Cricetulus griseus: one gene and its partners. The protein of the gene in region 2 interacts with the protein of the main gene of each other region in a biochemical or structural test. Links are inferred from orthologs where the notes say so. Each region holds a gene or a part of one and is shown on either strand. Other genes may lie near its edges.

Region 1 (3,751 bases), on a different chromosome or scaffold from region 2:
TTATTTTGTATACAGTCTTGTGCCTGCATGCCAGCAGAGGGCACCAGATCTCATTCAGGGTGGTTGAGAGCCACGATGTGGTTGCTGGGAATTGAACTCAGGACCTCTGGAAGAACAGTCAGTGATCTTAATCGCTAAGCCATCTCTCCAGCCCCCCTTCTTTCTTTCTTTTTTTTAAATTTTTCGAGACAGAATTTCTCTGTGTAGCCCTGAATGTCCTGTAATTCCCTCTGTAGAACACCGAATTCAGAGATCTGCCTGCCTCTGCCTCCTGAGTGTTGGGATTAAGGGGGTGTTTGTCGTATGCCACCACAGCCCAGCCCGGCTCCTGCCCTCGTTTTTATTGATCCATGAGGGGGAGGGATTGGGCGAAGCAGGTGGGCTCATATCTTTAGGCGAGCAGAAATGGGGCGGTTCACATGCTCAGGGGAATCCAGGAAGGCTTTGAGCTTGGGTCGGGCTCTGAGGCGTGTCACATAGGCTGAGAGCATGGGAAAGTCATTCAAGTAGCCAGGGAACAGACGCTCGTGGTTCAGAAGCAAGTCTAGCAGTCGGTAGTCCGCAAAGGAGATCTATGGGCAGGAGAGAAACTCCATGGAGCCAAACACTGGATGCTTCCTGCCTCCATTTCTGCATCAGGGAACTTGGCCTCAGATCTGAGAAAGGATCTGAGTAGAGTGGGAAGGGCCTGACCCAGTGCTCACCTGGTCACCCACAATGAAGGACTGGCCACCCTTGTTCTGGGCCAGCAGAGTTTCAAATGGCTTCAGGTGTCTTGGAAGTTCCTTCAGATACTGGACCTTGCCCTCCTCCTGTGGACAGAAATGACCCCAGGTGAGAATGTGCAGCCAGACTGACAAAAGTGAGTTCCGTTTCCTGACCACCCTGCTTTGCACAAGCCTGCAGTCCCTACATACATAGTTTCGGAGAAGCTGCTGGCCAAGGTGCCTGATGAGGTCTTCCAGCCCGTCGTTCACCATGTCCACCAGCGCTGCCTCTTTCTGGTCTTTGCCGTAGAGCCCTGGGTCAGGAAGCAGGCAGCATACTCGTGTTCTGTGCTAGTCCCTAAATACCCGCTCACACCAAAGCCTGGGTCTACTTTGCATTGAAGATCTTCCCTGTCCTGCCTACCTCAGCCATGCCACCTTCACAAGGGAAGAGTCTACCATCCCCCAGGGCCACAGCCAACTGAAGCCTGGGCCTGCTTTCTGGGCCACACCTGTCACTGGATCTGCCACACCAAAGGAAGTCAAAAACTCTGTTTTGTCCCTCCCTTGGAACAAGCTGTCTAGGGACCTAGACAGACCGGGGTGTGAAGGCTGCTATCCACATACATTGTGAGATGCACAAGGCAGATGAGAAGATGACAGGCCCCAGCCCAAGGCCGTGGTCTGCTCTCTAGGTCCTGTAAAAGAGGAGTTGGCCTGAACTGCTCCCACTACCCATCCATCCTCAGGTTATTATGTCTTTATGGAACTCCGGGCACCCCTTTCCCAACCAGGCCCACAGAGAATAGTTGCCTCTGCCACCTTCCTGACATCATCCAAACAGGCTGAGGCCTCGTCACTGTGACTATGGGTTTCCCTGACTGGGGTATGGCCAGGTTAGGAAGAAATGGGCAGTGAGGTCTACTGGGAAGTCTCTAGTCCTGTTCCATTGTCACACATAGAAACTGGTGGCCCCTTATGAGATGTCATTTAGAACAAATAATGCAAGTTTACTGGAAATTCACAGCCCCCACTGTGCACAGACAGACCAGCACCACACCTGGGAGCCTCTTGGAACCTGAGCCTGCAGCCTGCCTCTAGGGTAACCTGCTTGCCCTCTATCCAGGTGAGAGATTGGTTGCTGTAGGACATTTTGCAGGACATCTGTCAGGTGTCTTTCAGGGTTGTACTTCAGGACTCACCGAAGGAGCGGCCCAGGTGCCGCAGGATGGCATTAGATTGGTACAGGGTGATGTCTCCATCCTGGAACTTGGGGAGCTGCCCAAACAGCTGGGAGAAGACAGCTCTGTAAGGGGTGCTCAATGGGCTGCCCCCAACCCTAGTCACAGGACCCTAAGGCTGCGCCCCAGTGCCATCCCCACTTTAGTGTAGTCACTCACACAAGAAGCCTTGAGTGTACCCTGCTCCCAGGCATCCAAGGTCACCACCTCCTCCTTCCAGCTCTGGCCCTGGTCGGCTAGCAGCATGCGCATAACCTCGCAGCGCCCTGTATTAGGGTACGGGACAGAGATTGGGGAACTGAACAGAGACCTGGGAGAGTTTGGAAGAATGGAAAGCTTACAAAAGGACCAAACTAAAACGTTGGGAGGGGAGACACGGAGTAGAGGCCACGCCCTACCAATACCTAGGAGAGCGGGACACAGCTCCACAATGGCCCAGGAAAGGAAGAGTAACAAAGTCCCTCCACCTAAGGTGCCCGAGAGGGCAGTTCTGTTCCCACCAATCACAACTGTAGTCCCGCCCCAGGTCTCGGTCCCACCCCAGCACGGCCTTTGCCACGCCCCTCCGGCTCCACAGGAGCCACAGGAGCGATCCTGAGGACTACAATTTGTGCCCTTCATCTTGAAAGCGCTGAGGCCACACCTCGAGAGGGGAAGTAGACGATGGTGTAAGGCGGCACTAGAAGAGATAAACACACAGAAAGCACGATGAAGAAAGACCTCATGGCGGGGGTGGGGGTGGGGTGTCAACTCTGCCCAGGCCCCGTCCTCACCGCCCAGCTCCTACTTACTTTTGGGCGATGCAGTGCGGTGCAACTTCAGCAGCATGAGAGGAGGTGACTCGGGCCTTATATTTACAGCGCAGCTCCGCCTCCTCAGACCTCGAGCCCTGCCCCAGGAATATGCCAAGTCACCGTGCTCAGCACATTAGGCTCCAGGCAAAGGCTAGGGGAGGTGGGGCAGAGAGCACCAGACCCACCTGTACATCTGCAGTACTGTCTATACTGGGGCTTTGCAAGAGGCACGCATGCTAAGCCTCGCGCCTTAACACGCCAAAAACACACGGTCCCTCGTGTCCTCAGGGGCCTGGACAGTACCTTGCAGGCACGAAGGTCTCCAGCCAACAGCACTTAGATGCTCAATAAATGTTCATTGTAAGAAGGCAAGGTTGCCAGGCAGGGTGGCACACGCCTTTAATCCCAGCACTCAGTGTGTAGAGACCCGCAGCTCTCAGCGAATTAGAGGGCTGGAGAGCTGGCTTAGTGGTTAAGCATATACGGCTCTTACAGAGGGTTCAGATCCTAGCACCCATGCCACGCAGCACTCAACCACCTCTAACTACAGCTCCAACGCCTGTGGCTTCTGAGGTCACCCGCACACACATGCACATAATCTACACACACACACACACACACACACACACACACACACACACACACACAAGTAAATATAAAATAAAATCTTTGGAAAGATAATAAATCAGAGTCAGTGAGAAAACTCAGTGAAATGCCACCCAGTCTGATGGCCTGAGTTCAACTCCTGGAATCCACAGTGAAAACAAGAGAACAGACTCCCAAGAGTTGTCCTCTAATCCTTACAGCCCCTGTAGCTTGTATACACACTCATACCATAGTAATAAAGCAAAAAAAAAAAAAAAAAAAAGCAAAACTGAGGCAAACTTGGAACAGCAAATGGTGGAAGGGGTTTTGCTCTCCCTCCCTCCCTGTCTGCTTAAAGCTGAAACAATTTTTTGTGTGCATGCATATGTGTGTGTGCATATGCAGGTGTGGTGTGTGTATATTT
Region 2 (3,651 bases):
AGCAGAGTTTTTAAAAATCAAGTAAGGACATGAGAGTTATCCATACTAGAAGATAGGAAATCTGTCTCTGGTGTCTCCTATCTTCTCCTCTCCTCCACTGACCAGTGGTTTGCAAACACACAAGCCTTTTGAGAAGTTTGCATTCCATCTTTAACAATGACAAACACAGTATTATGAGGTGAATTTCACTGTAACATAGGTGAGATGTCTGAGATTCAGAAGAATGGCCCACTGTGACCAGTGTATATTATTGTTGATGAAGCTTAGAATTTGAGGCTATAAGAAAATAGCTTTACATGAAAGAAAATAAATAAATTCAGCAGTTACTCCATGGTTCAATATGAATTCCAAATATGTATTAAGCATATGTAATAAAATATTAATATACATTTAAGTACTAGAAAGGAAAGTAAGGATGAATGTTAAGTTGAAAAGCCAAATTTAAACACCACCAAATAAGCTTCCATGTGAAACAAAGTTACATTATATGATATCTGATTGCCCCAAAGAAGGTTTTAAAACTAGACAGAGTGGTCTTTAAAAGCCTAATGGAAATGTTAAGTATGCTGAACCACAAAAAGCAAAGGAAAGAAGGACAAATCTGTTCTGTAGAACTTTTCAACAAACTTGTTCGCTAACACTTTGATCTCCACATTTTTCAGTGTGATTAATTGCAGAACAGAACTCAAGATATTAAAAAAAATCTTTGTAGCTGCAATTTGATATGGGCCAAATACAAAAACACAAAAACTTATTAATTACAAAGATTTCCAGACAGTAGCGTGCCAACTATTAACTGAAGTTTTAGGTAATTGGCCAAGTGATTCACAGAATAAGAATGTTGACTTCCTGTGGCATTTTCTGTGCTACTCCATGACTTGGAGGAGAAGGGTGCTTTTACCAGCCATGATTTAACATCCCTAAACTCAGTGATGATTGCCTGCCCCACTCTACCCCCAAGTCAGTCAAGATTGGATATAGCAAGTTGAATGAATTTACGCAGAGTCAATCTGTCAAGAGAAACCAAAGCAGGTGGCAATTCTCGGACCCTGGACTCATTTAGATTTGTCATTTGTGTGCCTGTGACAAGTCAGTAGGTATTCTCTCTCTCAGTTTCCAAAGCTAAAGTGCAAACAAAAGCAGTCCATGGCTCACAGTTTTCCTTTCTTGCACGAGAGTCTTTTAGTTTACCCTACAAAGCATCCAAGCCAACTATGAATACGAAGTTTCCAAACTGTTCCTTGTTTCTAGAACATTCTCTAGGGCCTTGGGAGAGGCATCATTGGTTTCATGTCATTTGTTCACTTTTATTGAAGTATGCATTTAACTAATAGATTTTTATTTCAGGCCAAAAATGCGATCCGAGCTGTCCGAACGGAAGTTGCTGGGGAGGAGGAGAAGAGAACTGCCAGAAATGTAAGTCAGCACAGCTCTGGGGCCTGAGAAACATGCCCTTGTGAGTGGAGTCCACACAGTGTGTGGCCCACCTCTCCTACACTTTGGTAACAGGACGAGTACAGGAACTTGGCAATGGACCCAGTGTTAACTATTTCATGAGTGTTGGTCTTGCCAACCCAACTGCACACAGCCATCAAAGGCTAACTATTTGGGATACTTCAGACCATCATAAAATGCCTAAAAGCCAGCTACCCAAGTGCCTAAGTTATGTAGGATGCCCTGTTTCTGCTCCTACTCCCCCTTTCTTAGTACCAAGGGTTTCTCCAGGGAGCATATGTGTGAATCCTACTTTTTAAAAAGTTTAATTAACTCCAGCATGGTTGCTGGAGTTAATTAAAGAACCCAGGAATGTATCAGCCTCAAAACTGACCACAGTTCATTGCCTTTGTGACATAACTATCCATTCTTTTAAACACCATGTCCAGTCAGGTGCTCTTCTGGCTTGTGTGCTTTCTGTACCACCAAGAATTCTCTAGCTACTATCTACTCATTCAAAAGATCTGATCAGACAGACTTGCTTTAATCACGTCTCCTAAGTGATTTGAAATAAATGATAAGAGATATACTGAGGGGAAGGTTGTGATGATACTCAGTTTGGCTGAATGTGAATGCCTAAAAGCCTGTTCCACAGTCAGGAAATCCATCCATCTTCCCATCTGTTTCTTTCTACTGCATGCAAGTGTTCCTCCAGGCCCCTGGAAGATAAGCTGCCACCTAGATGCAGCTCATTGGTGATCTTTCTTTTTCAGTGACCAAAATCATCTGTGCCCAGCAATGTTCCCGGCGTTGCCGTGGCAGGTCCCCCAGTGACTGCTGCCACAACCAGTGTGCCGCTGGTTGTACAGGACCCCGAGAGAGTGACTGTCTGGTAAGACTGTAGGCACTGGGGAGGCAGGCCTCAGAGCTTTACACACTGACTGTGATGGGGCCTTCCTGTGGGGCACAGTGTAAATAAGTATTGTCTTGGCCAACAGCAGCAACAGCATTATGACAAATGTCTAGAGCTGCTTCTGTAAGACCCCTTGAGATGTGTCCAGTTACACAGACCTTGCACAGTATGACATTGGAATTGTCCCCTCCATTCCACTTTGCCCACCATCTTTCAATGCCTCTTGGCTGCTCCCCTACCCTATGCCATCCCATGGTGTCTTTTTTCCCCTGACACTACCGAAGCTCTGGTGAAAGAGCTTGTGAATGCACGGGCTAGTGAATGTGATTCCTGGGGTTAGCACAAAGCTGAGCAAGGCCCTGTTGGGCTCCAGAAGAGGAAGTCCATCCTAAGCTAGAGTCTAGAATATCGTATGGTTTCTGCAAACAGAAGATTCTTAAATCCCAAACCAGAGCTAGCCCCGGATGTTAACACTTGGACAGTCTGGGCTGGACCTAAGAGCAGCACAGGAGAATGACCGTCCATGTAGTTTTTAGTAAGAGCTAAGACCTTTGATCTCGCCCTTTCTGAATGGAAGCTTCCTGTTAAGATGCCAGCCCTTTGACGATAAATTCTAAAATGTCTTCCAAAGCACTCTTTATAAGAGAAACCCAGTATAAACTGGGTTTAAAAATGATGTCACACCATATTTACCTGGCCGTGGTTACCTTTCTTTGTCACCTGTAATCAATAGAGATGTATTTTTTCTAATCAAAAACCCTACGTTATAGCAACTGCAGCAGTCAGTATACTTAAAAATAGTACTTGTTACTTACAAGAGGGCAATGTTTCTGACTACCCTGAAAAGCTGACTGGATTCTTTTCCCTCTCACTGAACTCCTGAGCACTGAGAGCTGCCATTGGCCTGACCTGCAGGCTGCCTGGCCCTGTGCTTCTTTCATTTGGATGCAATATCTTGAGCAGGCATGTTGTCCCTCCTATGACAGGTCTGTCATAAGTTCCGGGATGAAGCCACATGCAAAGACACCTGCCCACCACTGATGCTGTACAACCCCACCACATATCAGATGGATGTCAACCCTGAGGGAAAGTACAGCTTTGGCGCCACCTGTGTGAAGAAATGCCCACGTGAGTTGTCCACTGTTGACTTTCCTGTCATCCATGTCCTCTTTTGTCTTATGCTGGAGTCTTGGGTAGTTTGGGGCCCCTTGTGCTTGCCTTGTTGTCAGGTAGGTTAGCACATGCCCAGCTAGATACAAAGGTGAGGACACAAGGACTCTGGACCAACAGCTAGGGAGCCTGCA
Region 3 (3,651 bases), on a different chromosome or scaffold from region 2:
ATCTGATTTTCTGGCTGCAGCTACCTCCTTGTTGAAATTTTCTTATGATCTTCCTGCTGCTTATGTGGTCATGAATAGGTTGACCCCCTAAATCTAAGCTTCCCAAGTGTTTGAAAACTAAGCAGGTGTCCACACCTGTGGTACCTTGCGTACTCCTAGCTGAGGACTTCTCCACTGGATACTGCAGAGGTATTACAATGCCTTGATCTGGCTTCTGAAATGCTGAAATCAGATTCTTTATTTTCCGGAAAAATCTTTTGTGTACCCCAGGTGCTGTCTGGAAAATAAAAGATGAAAAAAGTATTCATTTGCCTCATGATGCTAAAAAAAAAAAGAAAGAAAAAGACCTATAACATGTGAGAGGGATGCTCAGAGAGGTAACATTTGTGTAACTTGCTCAAATATTTGAAAACATAAGGAAGAAATGAAAACAACATCCAGAAGAGCTTACTTTGCTTGGCTGAATTTCCTTGCAAGAGGAGCTAATGAGCTGTCATTGCAGTTCTCCCAAGGGTAGTACTAGTTTGTACAAGCTCTTTCTCACAGCCCTGCCCTTCCTGACTGCTACCCGTCATACATCCTGAACCTCTAAGGATGTACAGGCCATTACCCACAATGAATTCAGCAACAGAGGGGATGAAGTTAAACATAAAAAAAATGTATAGATCCTACAGGTCATTAACAAAAAAGCCTGAGAAATCAAAACAACAACCAACAACATGTCCCCCATCCTCATTTTATAATATCAAATATTACACAGGAAATTTAAAAAGTGACTGTTACGATACACACAACTGCATGGCTGGCCGATGCATATACTATTTTACGTCATAATACATACTGAATCATCCTTCATGTTAATTTTGTGTTCTTTGCCCAAATTGTTTGCATAGTCAGCCCTGCACCATGACAAGGTTTCCTCTATGACATGTAAATGAAAGACTATACAAGTTTATCTTTATTTATGTATTTGTTCATTTTTAAAGAGATCAAATTTGCAGGTGGCTGTTAAGAATGTATTCTTTCCTTGACATCTGTGCTCTCACAAGGACACTGCCTGAAATCAACATTCCCCACAAAGCTTATGAGCTGTGCTTTAGGCACCCGCTCAAAACTGTCATTTTACAGAAAATAAAATAGTATTGCTACGAGCAATTGAACAATGACTAGTTTTGCTTCTTTCTAGTTTTTTTTTTTTTAGAAAGTTGTTTTTCAGCTATTCCATCTGGAAGATTTTTGAGATGGGAACTGCTTGGTTTTTAGCATTTAAGGAGAAAATATGAGGCTGGCACACAGACTTCTGTCAACTGGACTTTAAACTCGAGATAACTGACTATCCAAAGTTACTCTTGGTCATTGCCTACTTTGGAGTGAGTAGGGAGTTTTCCAATATAAACACATGGTAGATGTTCTCTTTAGCTGTAATTTAGTGTTCATCTATCCAGTGTCAACGGACAGAAAATGGTCTCCTACCCATCCCTATTCTTATGATCAGAAGACCTAATTTTCTGCTGAGGCTTCATCTAAAAATAACATGGCCATTCTCGCAGAGACCCAAATAACTCTTTGGCTTCAAGACAGAGGCTGCAAATTACAAAGGCGTGCAAATGGCTACAAAATACCTCCTTACTTCTTCCTTAGGGCATTTTTTGATTTTTCAAAACACTTTCCCATCTCTTGCGTTCACTATTTCCTCGTGAATTGGAAGATATTGATTCTTCCAATTATTCTCATTTCACAGATATAAACATGTAACCTAATCATCTTGCATTGAAGTAAATTAATAAGCAGGTTGAGGTCACACATAAATCAGAAGCAGCAGAATTGTCTCTGCATTCCTTTCAGATTAAGACTAGACCAAGTAGTTTCGAGTGAAGCTGAGGTCACCTGCCAGAAGAGAGACTGCATATTTCCCCAGAGGGGAATCATTTGAAACCACACTTCATTTAGGCTGTTTCTTGTGGCTTATACATGTATTTTCAACAAAGGCATCATTTCTATGGAGACTGATAGTTAACACTTGATTATCAATGCTGACAGAGAAGACAATTACCACTGGACATAGAGAAGTAATTTGAACTTGAGATGCAGCATTTCTTTAGCAAATGACTGACCTAATTTATGATGCTTTGCTTAGGCTAATAAGTAATTCACTTACTAGCTAAGAATCTCCTGGTGACCAACTACCCAGAAAAGCCCAAAAGCACAGAAATTGGCAGAGAGGGAGAGAACAGTACACTTTTGACAATGAATTGCTGACAATCTATACTTAATAAATGATAATCAACAATTCATCATAACTTTAGCCTCCAGGAACTAAGTTAATGTCCTCAGTAATGTTCTACTTAAAATGAAATTTTCTGAATATTTTCTTTCATAATCCAATAGATTCAAAGTTCAATTTAATATCACATCTCTAAAACATGTCTTAAACTTACCTAAGGACAGAGGCTAGAATGTTCCTGACATGACCTTTTCTTATGGTATGTCAAACTAAAATGCTTTTCCTGAAAGTAGTACATAAGCCACTTACCACATTTTGGAAAGACATTTATCACACACACAAAAAAGCATCATGGCTACTATCCTGTCAGTGAATTCAGTTCTTGTTCAAATTTGAGCATTTCCCATACTGCCATCACTTAATTATCCATGGAAACACGTTTTGAATCACAGCTGATCTTCAGTACACTCTGGAGAACTTTCTTCCAGCCAGGTGATTTGAGCTCTGAGAATTGTGCACTACTTTAATATTCACCTTAACAAGAAGGCAAATTTTGTAGACAGAAAAAATGCAATATGCATTTCATGAAACAAAGATGTTTTTACCTATTTCCCATTTGGGGATAACCCAAGACAATCTTCTGCTCTCATGGTGCAAATAATTACAATATTATTATATAAGGAGGGTCAAATCAGATAATAGGATAAGGAATATTTATGCTCAATAGACCCTCCTCTGAAAATGTTTACAAATATGTAATGATGTGCTATGATGTTACATGCGAAATGGAAGAAAATGAATTATAAAATGTGTCTAAGAATCCATATCACATCCCTTCCTCCCAAGGCTCAAGGATCATTGAGGAAGAGAAGTGAAAAGAGTATAAAGCAGTGGAAAATTACAAGGAAACAATGTATTCCAGACACAGCAGGACAGCTTCACATATGAACTCACAGTGGTTATGTCAACACGCACAAGACCTGTGCAACCTAAGCCAGATCAAATCCAAGCATGAAGAGAGGAGGTGTGTACAAATTCCCACTTCTGGCAAGGAGCTGCTGGCAATTGATAGCTACCAGGAGAAGAAAAGCCAACTTTCTTTAAAAGAATAGCCCCTGGTAAATCAATCATGCTTCTGAGGAAGGCCACACATCCAAGAATATTTGGACAGCACAAATTGAGAAGACAGATTTATCAAAACAAAGAGTACACAAAATTTCCTGGATTGGGAGAGAGGAACAGATCTTGGAGGACAAGGGTAAATAAGATCAAAACATATTATACAAAATTCTCAAAGAACTAATTTTTTAAATCGCAAAAATATCAAAGATTTTTTCCATAAAAATATTTGTATTGCTCAGCTGAAGGGTATTGTTTGAGGGAAGAGGATTATTTGTGACCAACCCATACATAAATTTACATATATC

What was found.
Region 1: of the proteins of Egfr (region 2) and glutathione S-transferase P 2, one has a biochemical effect on the other in vitro, tested with the Homo sapiens proteins (2 studies listed by BioGRID). The link is inferred for Cricetulus griseus from reciprocal best matches to the Homo sapiens genes EGFR and GSTP1.
Region 3: the proteins of Egfr (region 2) and Sh2d1a form a complex in vitro, tested with the Homo sapiens proteins (2 studies listed by BioGRID and IntAct, with this or other methods). The link is inferred for Cricetulus griseus from reciprocal best matches to the Homo sapiens genes EGFR and SH2D1A.

The regions. Positions count from the first base shown.
Region 1 is NC_048596.1:55,181,476-55,185,226, reverse strand, and holds glutathione S-transferase P 2, read right to left. Parts: upstream 2,830-3,751; 5' UTR 2,777-2,829; coding exon 2,740-2,776; intron 2,628-2,739; coding exon 2,592-2,627; intron 2,456-2,591; exon of another isoform or gene 2,353-2,455; intron 2,215-2,352; coding exon 2,108-2,214; intron 1,998-2,107; coding exon 1,910-1,997; intron 1,022-1,909; coding exon 918-1,021; intron 813-917; coding exon 705-812; intron 573-704; coding exon 384-572; 3' UTR 322-383; downstream 1-321. UniProt on the Homo sapiens protein: Conjugation of reduced glutathione to a wide number of exogenous and endogenous hydrophobic electrophiles. Involved in the formation of glutathione conjugates of both prostaglandin A2 (PGA2) and prostaglandin J2 (PGJ2).
Region 2 is NW_023276807.1:89,400,575-89,404,225, reverse strand, and holds part of Egfr (epidermal growth factor receptor), read left to right. Parts: intron 1-1,347; coding exon 1,348-1,416; intron 1,417-2,207; coding exon 2,208-2,326; intron 2,327-3,333; coding exon 3,334-3,475; intron 3,476-3,651. UniProt on the Homo sapiens protein: Receptor tyrosine kinase binding ligands of the EGF family and activating several signaling cascades to convert extracellular cues into appropriate cellular responses.
Region 3 is NC_048604.1:25,494,319-25,497,969, forward strand, and holds part of Sh2d1a (SH2 domain-containing protein 1A), read right to left. Parts: intron 278-3,651; coding exon 136-277; intron 1-135.